Nothobranchius furzeri: one gene and its partners. The protein of the gene in region 1 interacts with the protein of each later gene in a pairwise test. Links are inferred from orthologs where the notes say so. Each region holds a gene or a part of one and is shown in the gene's direction. Other genes may lie near its edges.

Region 1 (3,500 bases):
TAGCTGCTGCTGCTAGCCTGTAAAGCTTTCAGTTAATGCGTTGAAGGTAAGCAAATTAGAGTCACAAAGATGTTTTTTCCAACAAAGATTGAAGAAATTTGGGAAATTACAAGTCAGACTGAAGTAAGCTTTTAATTTGACTCAATAGCCATCCAAATACTAGCTTGGCAAGCTGTACTATATTTGTAAATGTATAGTATGGCCATGACCCATATGCAGCTCAGTCATGGGGCAGAAACTACTGTTTTCTTTCAAACTGTCTGCATGCAATTGGACAGCGCTAGGACCAATCAGAGCAACAAACAACATGATGGATTCATAGCAGCATAAATCAGACAACGAGGCCGTCCGCCATACACCGTAGAAGAAGAAGAAATATATTTCTGCTCATGTCTCAAAAAGGAACCCAAGTCTAAATCATACAAAGTTGATGCCAAAGCCATTTCAAATGAGCACCGTTGCTGGGCAGTGGTCATCTAAGCTGTAGAGTGTTGTGATTGGCCGAATCTACACTACACCAAGCCAATGGTAGGCTTGCTGAAGCTACAATGGAGCGTGGCCAAACCAACCTGCAGAGCAAACGTTTTTGTTGTCGCTACAGTTTGTCTAGAGCGCTAGGCTATCCAACCACAGCAGTTGCAAGCCACCAAGTTATTGCTAGCATCATTAGCTAACTCTAGTTTAAAAATATTTTAATGGTCTAACAAGTTATTGATCAGTATCCCCATCTAGGTAAGTTGCAATACTGCTATGTAACCATGACAACCATCTCAGCTGGGTGTAACTGGAGGTGCAAACGCACCGGTCACAGCACCTAGCTTAATTTTGGAAAGCAAAAGATTAAAATGAACACTTTAAGCACATTTCTAACAATAATTATTGTAAGGTCTTTTATTCATCCTATGAGCTACAGACTCTAAAGTAGACCAGCGGTTAAATTCAGGGCATACATTTTACAACAAATTTAAGATAGTCAAAACATAGCAACATATTTATGTTTTGGTGATATTAAATAGCTTATCTTATTGTATCATACACACATTATGCATGGATATCATAACAATATACTAAACATTCCTACTTCTTTATATTTTGTTAACAATAATTACAAAAAATAGTTTATTTTTCTTTGATATTTATCTCTGGAAAATACAAGGTCACACAGCTTTTCCTAACTGGGTTTACTGGAGGGTAGCTCTCCCTGCACTACTGGTGTGTGTGGGGACATGGGCTTACAGGAAACTGGTTTGGGCTTCAGAGCAGTACTCTATTGGGAAAGGCAGGATGTTTTAGCTTCTTCAGCTAAATGTTTTTACTCATCTTTATCATGACTTTAATGCTTTTATCGTAAAAAGACAATGAGGGAAACATGAGCAGGAATCTTTACAGGCTTGCTGTCAGCTGATCAGACATTTTTGGGCTTTGGTTTAAAGAATCACGATAAGAGGATTCAACTTCAGATACTTAATAGTCCCTCCCAGTGCGCACCTCCACAATCACCACCATCACTGCCACCTCCACCCTGCCTCTCTATCCACCCACCCATTCACTTGCCACTCTCCTCACTCCACTCCTCTTCTTTCCACAGATGAGCTCACAGTGCCTGCTCTATATCCCAGCAGCCCAGATGTGTGGGCGTCATACCCGCTGTACCCGGCAGAGCTGTCGCCAGCCCTTCCACCCGCTTTCACCTACCCCTCCTCGCTCCACGCTCAGGTAACCAACACCACCTGTTCCCCATTACCAGCCGTCGCTGCTCCTTCACCACCACCCAGTCAGCCCTCTGATCCCGCTCCATTATTTTTGGTTCTTATCTACACAGAGTAGCAAAGCTTTGTTTTTATTTTCGCCTACGTTATGTTGTAGGTGTCACTTCCCTTGCTGTTTTTCTGCGATCAGTAGAGGATGCCAGAAAGCCAGGTGGCAGCACGGCTTAGCTCCCTCAGGAGAAAGGAACAGCCAGGATATCGGAGAAGCCGGGTACCCTCCCTGTTGGGCTGTCTCCGGGAGGATGGAACAACAGATTATCAGATCTCTGATTGTCGGTCCGTCACTTTTAAAGGGATGGGCATGTTACTGAAACTCAGCAAACCTCTTCTGCAGCGGCGACCTAGCAGATCTTTGACCATGGTGTAACCAGCGAAGCGCGGAAGCCTCCGCTAGCTAGCCTCGGTCAACTTACCTTGCTCATGTTTCGTTACCCAGCCAGCCTCAACAACACGTTATAGTTCAACCCATCTTTGAGCAAACAGTGCTATGCGCTAGCTCTGATGCTCACGCTACCTGTCAATCAAATGTAATTATTTATAATTTCAAGCGTTTAATTACACCTAAAATGGAAGAGTGACAAAAAAATTCACCCATGAGTGTAAACTGGATCTATTAAACCTAAAATGGGTTTATGAACCAGGCGGTAAACATGTTTATTTCTGCTGTGAAGTTGGCATTTTTAACATGGGAGTCAATGAGGATTTCTCTGTTTTTGTTCCAGCACCTACCAGATGAGGGTTGAACTGCAATATTTGTCACTTCCGCGTTGACTTCATGTATTTGAAAAAATGACTGCCCCTTGAGATAAAAAAGCCTTTTAGAGCCCTAACAAGGAACAATTTTAAGATTTTTAGAAGAAATTAAACAGTACTTTTAAAACGTAATGTAAACCCAATTCTAAAAAACTAACTTGTTGTAAATGTTTTTTTAATTCAATTCATAAAATAAAATAGTAATCCAACTAAATCTAATAGTTACTTATTCACACCTCATAATCTAGAAACACAGCTACAGATTCAATTCAGTAATTTATATAGCGCCATCAAGGCACTTTGCAAAGCAAACATTCCAATTGAACATAATCAGCAGTGGCGGCTGAATTTTATTTTGGGTGTGGCACAGAAATGCCATCTGTTAGATGCGATATCCACATATCACCACTAGGGGATGCCAGTTTACCATTCTTATGATAGATTCCATGTTTTCTACCTCAGCAATGACAATAAAAAGGAAGGCTGAAAAGTAGCTAAATACACATATTGAGAAAAACACACAGTAGCAACAATAAGACATGATCCTGTCCTCAGAAGCAGCCATTTAAATTAAAGCCCAGTTTCTCCTCTTTGCAACAATATAAGCACCATCACTCTACCTGCAACAGTCCCGGAACTCAGCAGCAAAACAAACTAAGCTAATCTCATGAAGTTAAAAGCGTAAATTCTGTCTCACGTTTGCTGATTTTTGGCCATAATAATCTGTGGTATAGTAAAAAAAAACTACTTGATTCTGTAATCCAATGTCCCAACATCACACAGAGCAGGTGAATGTGCTTTTTTTTTACCCGCTGGAAAGATTTTATAACTCTCTGATGCCTCATTCCATCATTTTCTGGTTCCTCATAATAACAAAACTCCACGAGGTGTACTCAGCTGCTCTACAAGGACGGTGAACTGTGGAGAATTTCCGGTTCTGTCCTGATCTGAGCTGAGACTCTGCCCTGCCGGTCTTCT
Region 2 (3,096 bases), on another chromosome or scaffold:
CCTCATCTGTGCCCCAGACAAGCTGGTTCCCAAAGTCAGAGACTCTCTTGGTCAGCTTGGTTCTCACACCAAACCTTCTGTCAGGAATCTTGGCGTGACCTTTGACCCAGCTCTCACCCTGGATTCTCATGTCAGTTCTCTTGTTCGCTCTTCCTTCTTCCATCTCAGGAACATTGCTAAGCTGAGTCCCATTCTGTCCCGCTCTGAACTTGAGACAGTTCTCCACACCTTCATCTCCTCACGCTTAGACTACTGCAACTCTCTTTTCACGTGTCTGAGCAGAACCTCCCTGAACCGTCTACAGGTGGTTCAGAATGCCTGTGCTCGGCTTCTGACCAAGTCCTCCAAACACACCCACATCACCCCGCTTCTCCTCCAGCTTCACTGGCTGCCAGTCAACTTCAGGGTTCATTTCAAGATCCTGGTTCTGGTCTATAGGGCCTTACATGGACAAGCACCATCTTACATTGGTGGTCTTCTTAGTCCCTACACCCCCAGCAGGTCCCTGAGGTCCAGTGACCAAAGCCTACTGGTTGTGCAGCACCAGGCTAAAGACCAAAGGTGACAGATCATTTGCTGCTGTGGCCCCCAGACTCTGGAACCCTCTTCCCCTGAGCCTGAGATCAGAGGACTCAGTGGTCTCCTTTAAAAAGCAGCTGAAAACTCATTTGTTCAAGCTGGCTTTTGTGTGACCTTCTTCACCACTCTCTCTTTATTCTGCCCTCCCCACCTATTCCACCTTCCTCAGGATCCACTGATTTCCCTTTTTCCTATTCACTCTCTCTCCCTTTCTTCACATTTTTAAATCAAAATTGTCTATTTTTGCTCATTTTAAATATATTTTCAATCATTTTCTAAATTAGTTTTTATATTTTACATTTTTTATTTTTGTAAAGCGTTTCATGATTTTTATCTTGAGAGGTGCTATAGAAAAGATCTTTTCTTCTTCTTGATCTGAGAGCGAAGAGAAGCTGGGTTTTAGAGGTCATGAGGTCAGGACGTGTGCTGAAGCAAACTTAACTATGTAGAAATGAGAAAAACCCTGTTATTCTGGTCAAAAGCAAAACAACATTGATGAGATCCAATCATATGCTCACTGAATCAGAAACATTTTCAAATAGCTTGTGCAAAAGATAAAAAACTAAAAAAAAAACGTAGGAAAAGACTAAGAAAAAACTTTTGAGTTTCCATTAAATCAAATATCTGGAGTTTTTCTCAGAGGGCATGTTTAAAAGATGTTTTTAGCTTTTTATGAATTTCTTTTTTTTGTGAATCCTGATTTTCAGTGGCTGATTGTTTCAACACTGCAGACATGCTGATTTGTGTGTGTGTGTGTGTGTGTGTGTGTGTGTGTGTGTGTGTGCATGTGTGTGCGTGTGTGTGTGTGTGCGTGTGTGTGGTGCAGTGCATCAGTCTCCAGTGGCGACCCAGCGCCACTCTCCCAGGGATCCGTTTGAGTCTGCAGACGCCTCCAGCTCCTCCAGCTACTGTCCCGACTATACGGTCCGAGCTCTCACTGACCTGCAGCTCATACGGGTGTGTATGCAGCATGCACCAGTGTTTGTTCTCACACTGACGGCATTACGTCATCTTCACAACTATGTGCAGTTCCAGAATGAACCAGCAGGTGTCAGTCATCACATGAGCAGGGTGGACTAGACTTCAAAACATTTCAACAACAATCTAGAGCAAAAGCAAAAGAAGTTCCGACTAAAACCAAGATGGTAGCTCAAACTGATGGTAGCCTGAGATTTGTATTTCAGATCAACTTTGTTCCTCCTCCTTCTCCAGATATGATTATGATATGTAAATAAAAGATCCGTATGTGTGCAGACCCTTTTTATATATTTTCTAAACAGGAGCACTTCTCCGGGCCTCTGGAGGTATTTTGGGCTCTTCTTTGGACCTCATTTTCAGGCTTTATAGCAGAGTAGGACATAATATACACAAAGCCAGTAACACAAGTAATTATGACATTTGTGTGTGTGTGTGTGTGTGTGTGTGTGTGTGTTGCAGGTGACGCGTCTGCAGTATCTGAATGCTCTGATGGCGTCTCGTTCCGGACAGAGTCCAGACCCACCGGAGATCAAAGTCCTGCCCAACAGTCAGACAAAGCTGCTCAATGAGAGAAACACTGCACAAGGTAGCTTAGCTCAAAGTGTTGTCTGACCTGCAGCCTCTGCTGCTTCGACAACCTCAGAACATTCTTGTGTTTCTGATGCCTTCGTAGAGTGTTTAGGACTGTGCTTTTCTGTTTCCTTCAACTGAACTAAAAATGTTTTCTCTCTCTCTTTCTTTTTCCTCCTTGTGTGCCTCCTCTTGTCTCTGGCCCACCCAGAGTTTCCTGTAAACTTTTCATTCTTTGACACCATTGAGAACTACTGTTAGTTTTTGTTGTCGTCATTGTTGTTTGTTTGTTTGTTAAATTTTTGCATGAGGTAAATCAAATTAACATACAGCTCACTCACTCAGATAACATCATGCTTCAGAGCTGTTTCTCTTCCCAGTGATACTCCTAATATGCTTTATTTTGTGCCCATAAATGTGTCAGTATGTGTGTGTGTGTGTGCGTGTGTGAGAGAAAGCAAAATGTGTGGGGTTTTTTTTCTACTTTGATTTTGTTTCCCTTAAACCATTCCCTGTTGAATTCCGTAGCTACAGCAGAAAACCCATTCCTTTCCCTTCACAAACCAGTGACTGCAACACACACAGCACAGAAAAGGTTATTTATCAACAAAGGCCACAGGCAGTGATGAACTGGTTTCTCTGGTTTCATATTGGAGGTTCTCAGGTAGTGAAGGACACTTGTCAATGTGACAGTTAAGATATTTTAAGTCTGTGGAAAAACTAATAAGCTTTTGTTATCTAGTGAACAACTTCAGTTTGAAGAAACAAGGATTAGTTCTGACCAGACTGACAAGCTAATGGCTAGTTAGTTAGCCCGTTGCCTTACACAGTTTTTAGAGAGATACTAAAAAGTAGTGCAGCAAAGGCAGCAGTAGCTCAGGAGGTAGAGCAGGTTGTCCAGTAATTGGGACGTTGTAAGATCGATTCCAGCTCCCACCAGAGAATGCTGCTGTAGTGTCCTTGGGCAGG
Region 3 (3,500 bases), on another chromosome or scaffold:
TAGTGTGTATGTGTGTGTGTGTGCGTGTGTATGGATTCAAAATGGAGTCTTGAATACAAGATGGCTGACCCCTTTGTCTGGCTAAAGTGTGGGTGGCAACTTGCACTTTAACTTCCAAAGCACTTAGAATCAGTAGTAACTTAACCTTAAATCACTCAAAACATTTCAAAAGATCATGAAACAACACAAAAGATTAATCACAAATTAATATCTTTTAGTTTCAGCCTGGCCATGACAGAAACCATTTTAAGATACCAAACAATGATCAATAAGCAGTTTATTCTTCAAAATGACCCGACGGACGTGTTTGGGACGAAAGAGGAAAACACGAAGCTACTTTTAAGCAATAGACGCGGTTTATTGCTTATTCGAGACTATAGAGGAAACGGGAGAAGGAAAGAATGAGAGAAAGAGATGAGTTTCTGATCACCAGAACAGTGAAGCGTCCCTCACTGTTTTGATTTGACGGTTCTCCGTGTTTCTCCGCAGCTTTCAGCGTCATCCGCCGGTTTGATGCTTTCTCCGTTGTTTGGCTCCACGAGTGTTTCTCCACGGCTGGACACAAAGAAAACGAAGTTCCTTTTGGGCTGAGTTTGACAACTTACAGCGTTTCTGAGAGCTGGATGGAGTTGTTGTTTCCCTCCGCAGTTCTGTGTCCTCAAACATCAGCTGGAGGGGAGCAGAAACGAGCAGATCTGATGGGCTTGCAGTTTAGTTTCCAGCAGTTCCGTGGCTCAACTTGGCACTTAGAGCTTCCGCGTGCTCAAAGAAGTCGGAGCGTTCGACAAGCGTGTCCTCACCGCCAGGTATCCTGGGCAAAAGAACAAGGTTTCTTTGTCTCTGCTGAAGATTTATGGTCTTAGTTTGCGGGAAAACTCCACGGCTTCCCGCACATGCGCAGAACGTGTTTCTGGTACTAGGCGGTGACGTCATCACAATGCTTCCGTGTGCAAAGCATCATGGGAAATGAAGTTTCTTGGCGCTGATGTGATTATTTGCTTTTCAGAGCAATTTAAGCACAGTCATTTTGGAGAAAATCACTGCATAGTAATTTCCTCATGAGGTCAGACCCTCAACAGATCAAAGGAAATACCCTGACATGTTAGAACCACCATCAGCAGACCCTCATGCAGCCATGATGAGAAATCAAACCCATCCAGAGAGGAAGGTGTTTGCTAATGTATGCGTGTGTTTTCTCCCCTCAGCCCATTGTCACTACCCTGCCAGAGAAGAGTTGGAGGGCCGGAGTCTCGTAAATCAAAGCGTCGCATCATGGAGACACAGGTCAGCGCCTCTGTCTCAGGAGGAGGGGGGTGGGGGTCTGGGCCACTATTCCTGGCTTACATTTTCTTCCTCTTATTTTTTTTAAATGCACCCAGGTAAACATCCTTGTGTGACCCAAATAACCCGTCATTCTCACAGAGCCGTCTCCTTCAGCCTTGCTGCTCCTTTCACACTCCGCTGCCTCTGTGTTTGTTCTCTCCTCCCAGCAGGAACCTTAAAGCCTGCTAATGTGTTAGAGAACACAAATAGATTAAAAGTAGCTTTGAGAAACGTGGTGGCGCTCCGCTAAAATGTATAATTCAGATCCAATCTTGCTAAAACCTGCTCTTGTATTTCAGCAACACCTGCGATTCAACGACACATTTATCAGCATCATCAGAGCCGATTCCCAGCGGACGGCTCTGAAACAAGCAGTCTCACATGTGCTGGTTACTATTTTTACTCTGCATTCTTAAGCGTGAACGTTCGTCGTGCTTTGTTCCTCCTACACATCGCTCTGATCTGTGTATGTGCACGTAGTGAAATCCTGGAACAATACGCTCTGCACTGCTCCTGTTTTTCTCTCCACTTTGGCTCATCCAAGCTCCATTGTTCTCCTCTGACGGATGCTAATCTCAGTCTGTCTTGGAGGAGTAGGTCTGAGGAAAGTGAGATGGGTAAGAATGCTGATATGCGGAGTCTGGGATCACTTCCAAGTGCACTTTGCAGTCAATTACATTTTGGCCAGGTGGCGCTGGCACCTTGACAGCGCTACTCTGACAGAACGTCTCTGTTTAAAGGTGCAGACATAAACCGAAGCCTCTGATTAATAATCTCCCATCATAACCGCCATGCTACAGAAGTGGCTCGGTGTGCTGCTGTGTGGTGACCACCTCCTAGGTGATGCTTTTACTTTGTATGAGTCAGCAGCAGCTTCCTCACTAACCCTTTGGGCTGTGGACAGTTTACAAAAAACACAAAATACCCCAAAACCTGAACTTGACACTCGAGCGAGCACAAAGGTAACAGTTTTGGAGGGACTGATGATGTTGGTTCAGACACCAGCTGATCCCTGTGTCTCCCCTCTGCCCAGACCTGTCAACCCCCGGTTACTGCCAACCCTGTTGAGCTGCTGCCATGTTGCCATGGCTACATGGGAGGAGCCAACCTTTACAACTCCAGGAAGTCGGAGGAGGAGCTTAACATGTGGTAAGGGCTGTCTGTACAGGTTGTTTTTGCTTTGTTCTCTAATATTATTATTTATTCTTATTTTTTTTCACCAGCTGAAGGTTAACCACAACACTTTGTTTTGAAATATTACTGATATGTGATCATTTCTTATCTTATGTTTTTTAACAACACTGGAAAAAAATAAATAAATACAACATACCTGAGTGTGGCTCACTGCAGCTCACTACTGAATGCTTTTGTTTAAATATTTATGTGGTATTTATTTTCACAATAACAAGAAATGTATTTTTTGCATTCCTATAAAACATATTTTCCAGGTCCACTTACATTTCAATTAAAGCTACAACCCAGAGTATTTTTTTCTCAGTGTCACCATCTAGAGGCTCACAAGTGTATCTCACATTTTTTCTCACCATTTTTGTATTCACAGCCAAAATCAATGCCTCTCGTTCATGAACGTGCACCTCTAGCTGGATAACAGCATTAAAATGCACTGTTATATTACTATTCTCACTTTATACTGTTCATTTATAAATTCCTATGTACAGTTCCTTCTAAAAAAAATTAGCATATTGTGATAAAGTTCATTATTGTCTGTAATGTACTGATAAACATTAGACTTTCATATATATTAGATTCATTACACACAACTAGGGATGCCCCGATCAGGTATTTTTGCCCTCGAGTACGAGTACGAGTCATTTGATTTTGAGAATCTGCCGATACAGAGTCCCGATCCGATACTTTTGATACATAAAAAATAAATAAATAAAGAAAAGGAAGAAACAGTTCCATAATGTTCCTTATTTTTTATTTAATTCACTTTTTATTTTAATCTGTGAGGTAGCTTGAACAATCAATTAATAAATAACATAAATTCTTCACTTTTGGACTTTATTGCAAATTTAAAAAGTCTTAATATAAAAACAGATAGCACTTCAACTTAAAATACCTGGCAGGGGTCTATTTTGCCTCGGCCCCCAAAATGCTTAGATACGTCCCTGGGCATGGGATGGAGTTTTGAAGATGATCTGAATTGTATCAAC
Region 4 (3,931 bases), on another chromosome or scaffold:
CCCACTGCTCTGCAGCAGCCTATCACTACCAAAAAACAACATCAGCTACCTGGTTTTATCCATGATAAGTGCTGGGCTGTTCTCTATTGCACCTCTTATTTATGGAGGAATGGAGATGTTTCCCGTAGCACAGCAGCTCTACCGCCACGGAAAAGCCTACCGCTTCATTTTTGGCTTCTCAGCAGTCACCATTATGTACCTCATCATGGTGGTGGCTATTCAAGTGCATGCATGGCAGCTATATTACATGAAGAGTCTGCTAGACTCATGGTTCAACACCACGCAAGAAAAAAAGAAGAAATAATTAAATTAAAATATTTGTGATTAGGCAAAAATATCTGGTATATTTTAGCTGTGTTATTTTGAGGTCTGTTTTATTTTTATGACATAACATAAGTCTTTTGGTTTTATTGTTTTCCAACACCAAGTTTTTAATGAAGTATAATTCAATTTGAAAAATTGTATTCTCTGTTCAACTCTTATTATTTCCTGATACTAAATATAAGGCATTAAAATGGTTTGGGTTATGTTTTATTTTTTATGAAGATTATCGTTATTATAAGTTCTCACCTAGCACAATACAACTAGTTCACTGTGGTAAGGAGTAAAAAAGCAAATGTGGGAAACCAAAAATAAATTCCAATGTTTTTATTTCATTTTATTTATTTATTTATTTTTGCATGTGCAGGAACCTTGATGTTTGACTAATTTTAATTATGAAACATAATAAAACAGCACTGTTCAATAATTATATGTTTAGCATCACTTGATTATATTTTGTTTACAGCTTTGTCAAATAACAGTGAAGTAATACAACTTTGTAAACGTAGATGTGTATATACCAGAATGTTTTGCATTGGTAACATGATTTCATTAACTATAAATATAAAATATGCTTAGTAGTAATAAAAAATGGGTTACTTTAGGCAGTGTTTTGATTTTCTTTGTCTATAATTTTACAATATTGAGAAATGACTTCTTTTATTATGAAATTGCCTAATAAACAGATAGTATTCTATGTGGAAAAAATACGTTTACGTTAACATCCATGCCTGTGAACATAAATAATGACTTCATGCTTTGTAATGTTCCAATTTTAGGGTGGCACACTTTGCTGCCGTCTGCGCCTGCGCGTAAAGAGTGCCACGTACTGTTGACGTTGACTATCCGGAGAACACTTCCTGGGTCTAGCTAGGCTGGCTAAATATATCAAGTAATTTTCACGCTTTGGTGAGGCTTGTTAGGTACTGCGTGGTTAAGTCGTCTGATTCAGGTAAAATCCGCTATTTGATTCAGAGTTTCGCTGTAATATAATTGAGACCTAAGCACACGGGAATGTGTGTGTCATGATTGCATGTTCGCTGTGAAGCTATGTGGTTAGCGCTAACTGGCTAGTGCTAGCTCTGAGCTAACGTCACTTTAACGCCACTTAACTTTTTTCCAAGCAGCTTTTTAAGACTGTTTCGTAGAAAGTTATATTGTAAAAGAGTGAGACGTTCTTAGCAGGGTGAGGCTGGCACACTTGTACAAGTGGCATATACGGTCTTTCTTTAGCTTTGTTTTTTTCCAAATGTAGCTTGTCAGGAAATCACTGTTTACGGATTCGGTGATTTAAAATCAAGTAAAAATTGTCTGTTTTAGTGTAATATTCAAATGATGTGACATAAAAGTATAGTGTTGCTGTTTTTTTTTTTTTACTTTGCTTGTGTGATTTATATTGTGATTGTTGACATGTCAGTCTGTAAGTGGCCCGTCAAAACTTCAGCTGTCCGTGAATTCTGTGTCTAGCACTCAGCCAGCACCACCCCAATTACAGCCCTCTTACATTTGTCATTTGATTCTCATCTAGTACCCCTCTCCCGGTAGAAACCAGCTTTTTTTTTTTTGTTTACCAGTTTATGCTGCTGTGTACTAAACGTTAGCTACAACACAATCCCTAGCATCTAGCTAATTACCCATCTGGCCATGACTGCTAAAGCCGCAACATTTCTGGAATTCAATTCACAATGGGATTTTGTTCAGCCCACTGTATCAGCTGGCGACCACACATTAGCAATAAGTGACAGATTAATCAATCACGAACAGTGAAGTTTTGTTTAATGTAACATTTTATTTATATATTAGCAAATTTTTGGAATCACCGCAAAGTTAGGTGTCATAACTTCCACATTCATAAAAATGGCCATCAGTATTTTTTTCCCTATATTATTGAGTTTTGTTTTCAAATTTGAATTAACAGCAGGCAATCCTTTATAATTTGACTTCAACACAGCTGTGGTGATGCTGAATTGACCTCTAAAATCACAACTCTCATGGAAATGCATAATCAAGTGCCAGCTGTTTAAATTATTAAACATTTTATGAGTACCACTTATGAAAATGCCAATATCACATAGTACCACCTGTTTTCACAGACAATTGCAAAAATGTAATTGCAAGTTTTAGCTGTAATTTGCCCATTTTACATCACAGTTCAGTTTACAATCTCATATTTGACACAAATGGGCAAACATAACCCTTAATCCCATTGAAGTGTGCAGGTTTAATTTGATCATACTTTCACAAACCATAAGCTTTTTTCTAACCCATATGAAATGACACATTTGAAATCAGTCAGATTTCCTCACTGTATCTGTTGCTCACAAGTCCTACAAACGCCTCAGTTTGAGAATCGTGATCTAAGAAATCAGTTGCTGATAGTGAATTTTGACAACTTGGAAATGGTTTAATTTCAGCAGACATTTCAAACGGTTCTAATAATGGTGCTAAATTACTTTTTGGTACTAGACCAGTAAAAGGCTTCTCTTATCAAAGTGGTTCAGATTTATCTAAGTCAACAAGAAGGTTTGTAATCACTTAAGTGTGTTTGCCACATCACTGAGTAGTGTTTGACCCTTAGACTATGCAGATCCTAAGGTCGGTTTGTTCAGCAGGAGGCTGAGTTACAGCAGAAATGGCTCATTTTCAATGCAGTTGTAGTTTATTTGAATCAAACATACTTCCTATAGCATCCAACCATTTCTGGTATATGGCTAAATTAGAACTATTGATGTTCAGTGGAAAAAAAGAGCTTTAATAAAAGCAACTTACTTGTTTTTAATACTGCATCTCTTTTTGGACCAAGTGGTGGAGCCTTAGAGGTCAGACGGCAACATGAACGGCCAGCTGGACTTGAGTGGGAAGCTGATCATCAAAGCCCAGCTGGGCGATGACATTAGACGCATCCCTATTCACAACGAAGACATAACATATGATGAACTGGTGCTGATGATGCAGCGTGTCTTCCGAGGCAAGCTGCAGAGTAACGACGAGGTCACCATCAAATACAAGGATGAAGGTGAGTCAGGACACAGCTCAGGTGCCCGGGTTTCCCCTACTCTAATTACTTAAGAGTAAAATAATTGTAATATAAATTTCACCTGGTCTTTGTTTTTCCTTTGTCAGATGATGACCTCATCACTATTTTTGACAGCTCTGACCTCTCCTTTGCAATCCAATGCAGTAGAATACTCAAACTGACATTATTTGGTAAGACTTTGCGCTTGCTCTCCATGCCTCTGTCACATACTTTAAGCCTGAGTGGATTTGAATGGTCTGCAGATACATCAGCCAGCCACTAGAGGACAGTCTAGCTTATGTTTCACAAAACAAACCTCTGAATAAATGAACTCTGCTGATCTCCAATCACTAACCTTTGGTGGAGCTTCTGTGTCTCTGTGGTTGAGCAAACAAATAATGATTATAGAGGTTCGTAGTGCTGTTCATGCCTAAAGTTAAATGTTTATTAATTCTTGTCCCAATTTTTATTGAACAAAAGTCTTGAAAGTTGTTTAAGTTCTTGTTTCTCAGAGAGAAGAAAACTGGTAGCAAAGAGATGATTCCTAATTCTATATAAAGCTTCAAAAGGACCAATAAAACTGAAACTATCTTC
Region 5 (3,500 bases), on another chromosome or scaffold:
CTAGTTTCGCCAGCCTTCTCTAATAACCTTCATTCTCAGCTACTTCACACAACAGAAAATAGAAATCCAGTGAATTAACAATTCAGTTTCCTCATGTTTTTTCTCAATCCTCAGCGTGCACTTGACTGTACACAGTTTAACACACTGTCTCATTAAAACATGCCAGAACTTTTCTCCTCTCGTCATAATGTCTGATATGTTATTAAAATAAGGCAGGGAAGAGCCTGGCTTTGACGGCGAGAGGTAGTAGCGTGTTTCCTTGTGAGAGGTCTGTCGTTATCATGCTAATCTGATAGAATGGCTGGCAATTATTTGTCTGTGTGATTGTGCTCTTTGACGGTTGGCAGCAAGCCAGTGGAGGAGCTGCAACCGCTCCTTTAATTAGGCTTACTGGTGCCGGGCTTCAAGGAAAAGAAAGGGGGAAGGAAGGAAGGATGGGGAAAGGTAGCAAGGGTGTAAGGAGAGGGAAGGAAAAAATATTAAGGGAACAGAACAGGAGGTAGGATGATTATTTGTGTGATTCATGCTAATGTGGTATTTGAATAATAAACCCAGTGAGTGAGTTTACAGACTTGGCCATTCAGCAGGTTTAAGAAAGCTCTGACTCCAAGTCACCTGGTCTCATCAATAACAGCAGTGCACGCACTTCTGGCCAAAAAAAGCAAAGGAAAAAAGCAAGATCGCCACTTGCATTTTACAGAACAAATAGCAACTCGAGTCTTCCATCACATAAGCACCGCAGTCATTAACACGTTTTAGCTCCCAGCAAGTGATTTTACTCCAAGCCAGTGAGCAGGTAACTTCCTGGAAGAAGTGGTTGTTTATGAAATTTCTCTCCTGAGAAAATACGATAGATCAGTATTTTATTGTGAAATGAGAGCATGATATTTTATTTTTGAACTTTTGCAGACTCTAGGGCCAGCAAGGATGTTCTGGTGATGGTTTTATGCTTTGGTGTAAGTCAACTATACGCAAGGGGAAGAAAATCAAATGAACTGGGGAAAAATGCCAAAACAATCATACCATGAGATGTTTCCAAAAGTCAAAGCTACGGGTAGTTTGGTTGTGTGTCTCTGGCCAGGTGCATGAGCTAATAAGCAGTCAAAACCAATTCAGAATATAAACAATCAATGCAAATAAACTATACTCGACAAGTACGCAAGAGCATACTAGCGTACTTGGGTGTGGAAATATTGCTGTTTGTGCTGATGATGCTGCAGTTCTCCTTTTGAACACCATGTGCCACTAATAAGATATCAATACCAGTAAATAGCAGGAATGGCAGAAGAAGAGTTTATCACTGTAAAAAGTGGTGCTTCTCATGTCAAGGAACCTTGCTTTGATATCTTGGTCCCGCCCCGGTTTTCTAGGAGATACATCAGGAACGTCAAGGCGTGTTCCTATGTTCATGTTCTACCGAGGCGTGTTTTCTATTTGTTAGCCGTTGCTAAAGTTGCTAAGCAAGCAGTGTTAATGGTTGGGTTGCATTGCTGTTAGCCTGGCCTGCCAGACTCGTCCTCTGTTTAATTCTGTGCAGAGAAAGGGTCTGGGAACTCTCCTACTCAAATAACCCCACCCCCTGAGAATCCTAACCGAGCCAATCAGCGCTGAGTAGCCTACGTCACACTCCACAACACCGAGTTTGTCATAAACATGGAGACTGAAGCGTCGTTTTCTCTTTCCTCTGTTCTAAATGACTTGGAAATGTCTTTAAATCCACAACAAGTAGAAGCGCTAAAAGCCTTTCTTCTAAAAAAAAAAAAGATTTTTCGCGCCGTTGCCAGACGCCATTTTTGACTTCAGCTAAAAATTTACAGCATTGTGCGGTGCAGTCTGCATTTCCGTCCTCTGATTGGTTATTTTTGAGCTGGCTAGCCGCCCCTCATGTGCCTCTCTGCCTGTGAGTAACCAGACTCTTTCTCTGTCCAGAATCAAACAGAGGATGAGTCTGTCAGGCCAGGCCACATTGCTGTAGCCAATCAGAAGCAAGTTGTCCAAATATCCATGGATAAGACTCCAAATCCTGCCGTTTTCTGCCCACCTTTTCTCTGCCTGACTTCTCCTTCCTGAAAAAGGAACACCAGAGTTTTTTTTCCTACAGAGAACAACTCCCAATGCATTCATTTATACTAGAAACCACACACAATTTATTAAAAAAATAGTGAATGAGAGCTTTGAGTGAAATACTTCTTACTTCTTTCTTTCCAGTTCGGGAAGGAGCCTTCGGATTATGTGAAACTCCCAAAGATCCCCGTTACCCAGACTGCACCAGCAAGATGGATGTAAGTCCTAACGCCCAACTGAACAGAAAGCATTTATCACTTTTGTCATTTCTTAATGACTTCCCTGGGCAAAAATTCACCATCCTCTTTTTAAATAAATTGTTTGAAATATTTGAAAACTCAGAGTCTGAAAGCTACCGTACATAGGTGTGGATGGCAGAAAAGGCATGTGTTACACAGAGAAGAGTGGAGTAAAAAGTTATGTCTAATTGGCATTTTGTAAACTACACAATGTAGTAGAGCACTACATGCTATTTGGTAGATGCAATAGCAAAGGGGAAATAAAGCCCACAAAACTAGAGCATGTTTAAAGTGTGCTGTTCGTTAATCATGTCTGGAAAGATTCAGTCTTTGTCCAACAGACTGGAACATCAGATGTATATAAATAGCTCCAACAGCTGGGATATTGTAACCATGGTAACATATAAGAGGTAATGTTTGTACTCATCAGTGATGGAAGTAGGTCTTAATTGTCCTGTTGTTTAGTTTTGCACCAAATATATCTCGACATACAAAAAGGCTTTACTTTGTCATTGGAGTTGATTTGTGAGGAAACATTTGTGTTACAATCCATCTGCCTCGTATCCTGAATGTAGAAAGTGAAAATGCACAAATGTAGTAGTGAATACATGAAGTGTTCCACTCTCCAACCTTTATTGTCTAGTGGATGCGCACTCGTTGGACCTCCGACCCCTGCTACGCGTTTTACGGCGTTGACGGCTCCGACTGCTCCTTCCTCATCTACCTGAGTGAAGTGGAGTGGTTCTGCCCCCCGCTGGCCTGGAGGAACCAGACCATTACCCCCACCCAGAGGCCTCTCCCCAAGAAACAGGTAGCATTCGACTTCCACACCATTAGTTTTACGTTCACTATAATAACACAGTCGGCTGAAGAGGGGGAACATCGAACATGGCAATAATGTCATTTAGAGTGAAAACATTAGCCACTAATGCAACCACATTTGTGAAGTGCCTGGAAGGTACAAATAAAACAGGAAAACACAGTTGGTGAAAAAGCCCAGAACATCTAGGATGTTAATCTAGATTATGTAAACATTAAAATAATGGCTAATTTCTAGGAAGTAATAATGGGTGTGTAAAAATCTTTACTTAAATAAACATATAAATAATTTAAAATGAATCAGTAACTAATTAAAAACAATATTTCAACATCACATATAAAAGGGATATTACAGATGTGTTAAAAGTAACAATTTTA
Region 6 (2,967 bases), about 46 Mb from region 1:
AGAAAAGCAATTTTAGTATATTTAATGTAATGTTCAAATTCAAGATACTATTATTATATGATCCTGAGGAAGCTTTTTAATGCTTTATTTGTCCATAAAGTTCAATACCATTCATTTTCAGTAGAATTGGCTGACAATACAATGGAATACAAACATTAACCAGCAGATGTCCTCCCAGAGTTTTGAAGCATCGAACCTTGAACCTTTTTTCAATACAATTGGATTGTAAAGCTTTGTTGGTTCAAAAGGCTTCACATCATCATCACTACTGAAAATGAAGAGGGCTGATATTTCAGCAAGGCACAAGGCCAAGGAAACAATGAATTGGTTTCAGAGAAAGGAAATCAAGTTGCTCAAATGGCCCAGTCAATCACCTGATCTAAACCCCATAAAACCGGGTATTCAGTTTGGGTCCTCGAGGGCCGGTATCCAGCACGCTTTAGTGGTTTCTCTGGTCCAACACACTAGATTCAGTTGTTGAATCACCTGTGCCTGTCGATTAGCTGCTGATTGAAATCAGGTGTGTTGAAGCAGGGTTAAAACTAAAAGGTGCTGGATACCAGCCCTCCAGGCCCAGAATTGAATACCCCTGCCACAGCATCTATGGAGAGACCTGAAGATCAAAGTTCATAAGAGGCCCAAGGAACCATCAATATTTAGTGTTTGTGTGGAAGAATGGGCCAGATGGCTGGTCTCTCCATACATGCGGCTTCTAGAAGCTGGAGTCACCAACAAAGGCTTTCCTACAAACTATTAAAGCGTGTTTGATACTTGTTCACTTTGTCATTTCACTTTATTATGACTTACTCAACTTATAAACTTAAACATTCTGATTTCTTTGTATGAATTCAATATTTGGCTTGATGAAAACATCTGGTGGACATTTTGTGTCAAATCCCACTTAGAAATATCCGAGAGTGTTTTGGGATTATATCGCTGTAAAACTCACTTATTGCACCTTTAAAATACAGCAAGACATAAATACTTATTCTGGCTGTGAAAAATCACCTTAATGAACATCTGAACACATCTTTAACACATTCTTGATCACTTTGCAGAACAAGCTGGGTCAAAGATTCCCAGACTGGAGAGCCCCATGCCCCCGCTGCCCACTCCCCAGCCCCCCCCAGGTGACCACCTCTGGTTGTTGTTCACCACCTTTGTCTCTTTTCTAAGTTAGAAGCAAGTTTGACTTGTGCTTGTTTGAATTCAGGTCATGATTAATATTTAATAACGCTGAAATCACTAAGGAAAAAGCAGCTGCACTTGGAACGGTGTTTAATAAAGTTATTCGGTAGCTGGGACCGGACATAATCCCAGCTGGTCTGGCCTAATCTCCAGACCTATGTGATTAGCGGCTAAGCTCGTTAACGAGACCTCCTGTGAGCCTGTCTGAGAACCGAGGTCATTTCAGGTCACGGTTTTTGTTTGTTCTTCCAGCTCCTCCTGCTGAAGCAGAACCAGGAAGTGAAGCTGCACCACCTCCTCCACACGCCCCACCTCCTCACCAGCCTCCTCCACTTCCCCACCGGCCTCCTCCACCTCCACCTTCCAACTACCTCATGTCCACCACCAGCTCCTACATGTCTGGAGAGGGCTACCAGAGCTTACAGTCTATGATGAAGACAGAAGGTCCCTCCTACGCCCCCATGCCGCCCAGCTACATACCTCCAATACCCCCTTATCATCCTGTCTATCCTCCAGCTGCAGCGCCTCCCCCACCGGGTCCTCCGCCTCCTGCCGCCTACCCACCGCCCAACCTAACAGCCTATCCACCTCCAGGATACAACAGCTATCCTCCTCCACCACCTCCACGTATGCCACCTGGACACGTGCCCCCTCCAGGGATTGGGCTGCCACCTGCAGGGTACCCTCCTCCACCTCCTGGTCCCCCAGGACAGTCACAAATGCCCCTGCCACCCCCACCTGGCATGCCTCTGAACCGCAGTGGGTGGATGAGATGAGGATGAAGCATTCTGACAACCAGGAAGTTGTTTTTCTGCTACAAACTAAGAGAAGTTGAGTTTTTCTGGGATAACTGCGGGGTTGTGCTGATGAGCTGTCAGGAAAAGGAACTTGAAGTAAAAAGTGATGACTTACTGTGTGATGAGAAACAGGTTTGTAGAAACATCTCTAGGATGGCTCTCAGAAAACCTGCCTTCAGGATTCATGAGACTGTACAAAGAAATATCTTCCTTTTTTATTATTGTTGCTCTCACTCATGCTTTTCTTATTTTTCCACCTTAGAAGTTCTCCAGTTATTGTTGAGTAATAAAATGGTCCACAGCATGGTTGCGCTTTCCTTTGAGTTGTTCTGTCAGTCAATACATGGATTTTTAACGGCTTACATTCAGCTGTGGTAAAACAAGAAAATTCAGCAACATGTTAACAATTAAGAATAGTGGTTCAAATTATTGTGGACAATTGGGAGATTTGTCATTAAAATATTAAAAATACCTCAACTCTGCAGGATCTGTGTGCAGTATGGTACTTCACCAGCAGAGGGCAGCCTAACCCAGCCATTCTTTTTGAAATGAAGACAAAAACTCAGCAAATTTTAGCAACTCGTTTATTCAAAGTTTTCTAAAAGTGGCCTATTTCATGTTTTCTCTGGTCAAATGTTGATATCAGTAAAAGGAGTCATGCTAGTTGCTATGGCTACGGGGGAAACACTGATGCTGTAGATTCTAGGGGGGCTGTACTGGTTTTAGTAAATGGGCAGAAGACAAGAAGCAGTAAAGATGCATAAAACAGTCTGGTTTTCAGGTCAAAACCCAGCTACCAAACGTGTGTTAGAAATTCAAAATTGTATCATGGCTTCAATCAGTTCCTAGAAAAAAAGGACACTTTTACAAAATAGTACTATTGATTAGTTTTCTTCCTTTCCCACTCATTGTGTTAAAAGGAGCCTCCTCAGAAATGTTCTCATTTGGAACAGAACACGAGATGGGACGGAGTGGGCTGTCG
Region 7 (3,402 bases), on another chromosome or scaffold:
GGACTGTTTACAAGTAAGACCACAAACACACCCTGAAAATCTATTCATAACAAGACTTATAAAAGACAGGATATTAAAACTTGCCGCCGTCTCTTCCAGCGACCTGCTTCAGAACCCGCTGATAGTACCTGTAAAAGTTCTCAGAGGTCATGTGATCACCCACGATCTTGGTGTTCTGGACGTGATCTTTCACCCCACTCAGCCGTGGGTCTTTTCCTCAGGAGCTGACGCCACCATCCGGCTCTTCACCTAAAGTGTTTTAACCAGCAGCAGCTCTGTGTGTGTGTGGGAGGAGTCTGACCTCCCTAATGGACTGATTACCAGGATACCTTCTTCTTTTTTTTTTGTTTTGTTTTCTGTAGTTTATTTTATTGTTTTCAATAAAATGTATTTTATTGTTTTCAATAAAATATATTGTTCTTACAATTTGTCTCTGTATGTTAAAACTAGGAGAATTATTGATTCTTTTTTTAAAACCTACAAAATGTAGTTTTATTTGTCTGCCTTCATTTTAAAGGAGTTTGTGTTGCGGTTACCTTTTTGAAAAACAAGACCATTTATTACAGCTTTCAAAAAGGAAATAAAATTATCTAAAATTATCAACATAATTACAGCTCTAAAGGTTTTTTTTTTTTGTTTGTTTGTTTTGTTGCCAGAGGCAGAAATTAGGACTATCCCAAATATAAAGTATTTGTGCTTCAAATTTCATCATTATGGATATTTTTAACTTGAACCAAGTTTTTGGGTATTTTGTACAAAGCTTGTTTCTAATAGTAAAAGTATTTGTAATAACCATGTAAATGCACGACTGCGCAGGCCTGGGAATATTTGTTGTATCTGTTGTTTAACCAGGTTAAAGGCCTCTCTTAAGAATAAAATCTCTAAGAATATCAGCTTTCTTTATGTATCAGTTGTGCTGAACACAAGCGGGAACTATGTTTAACGAAAATATTCGGGTACCAGGGTCTGCAAAATGTTCTTAGAATATTTACTACAAACAATTTTCTTTATAATGAAGTTGGTGTGACAAGAGTTTTCAACCATGGGGACACATTTCGAAGTGACACCGTCGGAGCGGTTTCGGTGTAACACCGAACCGCGAGTTCTGTTACTGGTAAATCCATTCTGTTACATCATGAAAAAAACTTCAGTTTGTTGGGTTTTACATAATTATTCGTCAAATTTTGTAGCAAAAAACAAACAATTTTCTTTATAATGAAGTTGATGTGACAAGAGTTTTCAACCATGGGGACACATTTCGAAGTGACACCGTCGGAGCGGTTTCGGTGTAACACCGAACCATGAAGGCAGTAAAGGATCGAATCACACCGAGTCGTGAGTTCTGTGTTTACACCAGCTGTTACTGGTAAATCCATTCTGTTACATCATGATTAAAAAAAACTCCAGTTTGTTGGGTTTTACATAATTATTCATCAAATTTTGTAGCAAAACGCAGTTGGCTTAAATGGTAGCTGCTACATTCTTATGGATATGATTTTATTATTATTAGATTATTTTTGCTGTTTGATTAGTGATGTCTTAATTTGCTTTGCAGTGAGGAGAATGTGTGGAAGTTGTGTGAGTTTGTTCAAACAGCGAGGACTGCTCCACTGGAACAGCTCTTTGTGGTTTTCATCTCTAATGACAACAGAATGGTGAGAAGATCAGCTCTGAGAAGTTTGTCATGTGTTACAAAACCCTTTAAACATATTTAACTCAACAGATTTAGTCTCAACAGGTCTAAAGTTTAACAAATCATCACGAATCCCCTTAAATTTGCCAAGTTTGTATAAAGAATCAACATTTTCACTAAGATCTGACTTCTGCTGCTGCTGCTGATCAGTGATGTTATTTGTTCTCCTTCAGGTTCCTCTGTGGAAGCAGAAGTCTGGACACGCTGACCATCCAGTGATCTGGGTCTATGATTCTCCTTCCTGTTAAAGTGGCCTCAGAGCATTAAAATAATACATTGTTAATCATGTTTTTTTGGGTGTTTTAGGACTACCATGTGATCCTGCTTCATGTGGATCCTCAGTCGGAGGTTCTGGTTTATGATCTGGACACAGAGCTGTCATTCCCATGCAATCTGAGGCTTTATGGCAGCCAGGCCCTCCGCTCAGACCACCACATCAAACCTGAATATCACAGGTAGCACTGCTGAATTACACAGGTAATGCACTGGAGTGAAATCACCAACACCTTCTCATATCTGTGACAGGAAGTTGCGTGTGATTCCTGCTGAGAGCTTCCTCTTGAACTTTGCGTCTGATCGAACTCACATGAAGAACCCTGATGGGAGCTGGAAGAAGCCCCCTCCCTCTTACCCCCCTTTAAAGACCACTGGTAACAAATCAAGTTAATGTGGAGCATGTTTTCTGATTCCTGTCTTAGGAAAAGGTGATTTTGTACTTTTGGTGCATTTCCTCTTCAGGGTGTCAGATGAACCTGGATGACTTCATCAGCATGAGCCCAGCTGTTGGCTGGGGGACAGTTTTCAGTCTGAATCAGTTTCTACAGAAATACTTAGGTTGCTCCTCCACCACCTCTTCATCTTCATCATCAGCTCAATCCTGATCAGCATCCTGGCAGCTGCTGTTTTGTGATTAGCTTTTATGTTATTATGAACATTTAATCTGAAATGATTGAGAGACTGAGACAAACATTGAACTGAACTTTATGTTTTGGGCTGAGCTGCATCTCGTTTGACCTCTCTTGAGTTTCACCTTGGCCTCTGAAGCTCAGAGGAAACCAGAAACATGACGACGACAGCGCTTCAGCCATGTCACAGATTCATCTGGAAACTGAAGTGATCCTTCATCACACACGCCTGTGAGAACTTTGAGCATCAGCACCTTGATTTCACCTGAGTTCCTGAGAAATAAAAAGATTTTATTTAATCTTTGATCGCGTTGGATTCTCTGTCTCTGTAGCGCAATGATAGAATAAAAATTAAATGTATAATTGTAACTTTTGGTGTCAATTTGAATCTTGGTTTCCAGAATATTTTAACAATTAAAACTTGGTGAAATTATGCAGATTCTAGTTAACAGCAGATTTGTGTTTGGGTATAAGTTCTATTTACCGTTATAGATGACTGGTGGAACTTGTGCAATCACTTTCACCTGTCATATGTTTGTGTTCAGTATGGCAGGAGTGGTTAGGACACTGGTTTAAACAGGAGGATCAGGCATGTTTGGTTTCAAATTCTTTTCTGGAAGAAGCTCAGGACAGCAACATCCAGATAAAGTAAGCAACCTGTTTTATTTTATCAATCAAACAATCTTTAAGATTATTTTCTTTTGAGTTCTTTGTCCCTTTGAGAAATGCACATCTCTTTAGAACAAACATGAGCGACAACAACAACTCTGACCAGGACGGGGGTCGGCAACCAGCGGCTCTGGA

Evidence for each region.
Region 2: the proteins of RNA-binding protein with multiple splicing (region 1) and metal transporter CNNM3 interact in binary tests that used the Homo sapiens proteins (3 or more experiments, as listed by UniProt). The two-hybrid records come from large-scale screens. The link is inferred for Nothobranchius furzeri from reciprocal best matches to the Homo sapiens genes RBPMS and CNNM3.
Region 3: the proteins of RNA-binding protein with multiple splicing (region 1) and phf1 interact in binary tests that used the Homo sapiens proteins (3 or more experiments, as listed by UniProt). The two-hybrid records come from large-scale screens. The link is inferred for Nothobranchius furzeri from reciprocal best matches to the Homo sapiens genes RBPMS and PHF1.
Region 4: the proteins of RNA-binding protein with multiple splicing (region 1) and tfg interact in binary tests that used the Homo sapiens proteins (3 or more experiments, as listed by UniProt). The two-hybrid records come from large-scale screens. The link is inferred for Nothobranchius furzeri from reciprocal best matches to the Homo sapiens genes RBPMS and TFG.
Region 5: the proteins of RNA-binding protein with multiple splicing (region 1) and alpha-1,6-mannosylglycoprotein 6-beta-N-acetylglucosaminyltransferase B interact in a two-hybrid assay, tested with the Homo sapiens proteins (2 studies listed by BioGRID and IntAct). The two-hybrid records come from large-scale screens. The link is inferred for Nothobranchius furzeri from reciprocal best matches to the Homo sapiens genes RBPMS and MGAT5B.
Region 6: the proteins of RNA-binding protein with multiple splicing (region 1) and ccnk interact in binary tests that used the Homo sapiens proteins (3 or more experiments, as listed by UniProt). The two-hybrid records come from large-scale screens. The link is inferred for Nothobranchius furzeri from reciprocal best matches to the Homo sapiens genes RBPMS and CCNK.
Region 7: the proteins of RNA-binding protein with multiple splicing (region 1) and ntaq1 interact in binary tests that used the Homo sapiens proteins (3 or more experiments, as listed by UniProt). The two-hybrid records come from large-scale screens. The link is inferred for Nothobranchius furzeri from reciprocal best matches to the Homo sapiens genes RBPMS and NTAQ1.

Annotation. Positions count from the first base shown.
Region 1 is NC_091742.1:66,831,331-66,834,830, forward strand, and holds part of RNA-binding protein with multiple splicing, read left to right. Parts: intron 1-1,588; coding exon 1,589-1,716; intron 1,717-3,500.
Region 2 is NC_091746.1:39,517,447-39,520,542, forward strand, and holds part of metal transporter CNNM3, read left to right. Parts: intron 1-1,405; coding exon 1,406-1,536; intron 1,537-2,016; coding exon 2,017-2,143; intron 2,144-2,338; coding exon 2,339-2,383; intron 2,384-3,096. UniProt on the Homo sapiens protein: Probable metal transporter.
Region 3 is NC_091745.1:62,283,622-62,287,121, reverse strand, and holds part of phf1 (PHD finger protein 1), read left to right. Parts: intron 1-1,205; coding exon 1,206-1,284; intron 1,285-2,356; coding exon 2,357-2,472; intron 2,473-3,500. UniProt on the Homo sapiens protein: Polycomb group (PcG) that specifically binds histone H3 trimethylated at 'Lys-36' (H3K36me3) and recruits the PRC2 complex. Involved in DNA damage response and is recruited at double-strand breaks (DSBs).
Region 4 is NC_091754.1:27,495,393-27,499,323, forward strand, and holds the start of tfg (protein TFG), read left to right. Parts: upstream 1-1,131; 5' UTR 1,132-1,273; intron 1,274-3,124; 5' UTR 3,125-3,153; coding exon 3,154-3,337; intron 3,338-3,444; coding exon 3,445-3,528; intron 3,529-3,931. Other genes in the region: jagn1a (protein jagunal homolog 1-A), read left to right, coding at 1-304. UniProt on the Homo sapiens protein: Plays a role in the normal dynamic function of the endoplasmic reticulum (ER) and its associated microtubules. Required for secretory cargo traffic from the endoplasmic reticulum to the Golgi apparatus.
Region 5 is NC_091752.1:49,948,782-49,952,281, forward strand, and holds part of alpha-1,6-mannosylglycoprotein 6-beta-N-acetylglucosaminyltransferase B, read left to right. Parts: intron 1-2,208; coding exon 2,209-2,282; intron 2,283-2,946; coding exon 2,947-3,114; intron 3,115-3,500. UniProt on the Homo sapiens protein: Glycosyltransferase that acts on alpha-linked mannose of N-glycans and O-mannosyl glycans.
Region 6 is NC_091742.1:21,076,091-21,079,057, forward strand, and holds the end of ccnk (cyclin-K), read left to right. Parts: intron 1-1,058; coding exon 1,059-1,130; intron 1,131-1,440; coding exon 1,441-1,964; 3' UTR 1,965-2,467; downstream 2,468-2,967. UniProt on the Homo sapiens protein: Regulatory subunit of cyclin-dependent kinases that mediates activation of target kinases.
Region 7 is NC_091759.1:9,346,768-9,350,169, forward strand, and holds ntaq1 (protein N-terminal glutamine amidohydrolase), read left to right. Parts: upstream 1-1,207; 5' UTR 1,208-1,301; coding exon 1,302-1,366; intron 1,367-1,555; coding exon 1,556-1,655; intron 1,656-1,866; coding exon 1,867-1,917; intron 1,918-1,999; coding exon 2,000-2,148; intron 2,149-2,218; coding exon 2,219-2,343; intron 2,344-2,431; coding exon 2,432-2,574; 3' UTR 2,575-2,902; downstream 2,903-3,402. Other genes in the region: ribosome biogenesis protein bop1, read left to right, coding at 1-13, 100-253. UniProt on the Homo sapiens protein: Mediates the side-chain deamidation of N-terminal glutamine residues to glutamate, an important step in N-end rule pathway of protein degradation.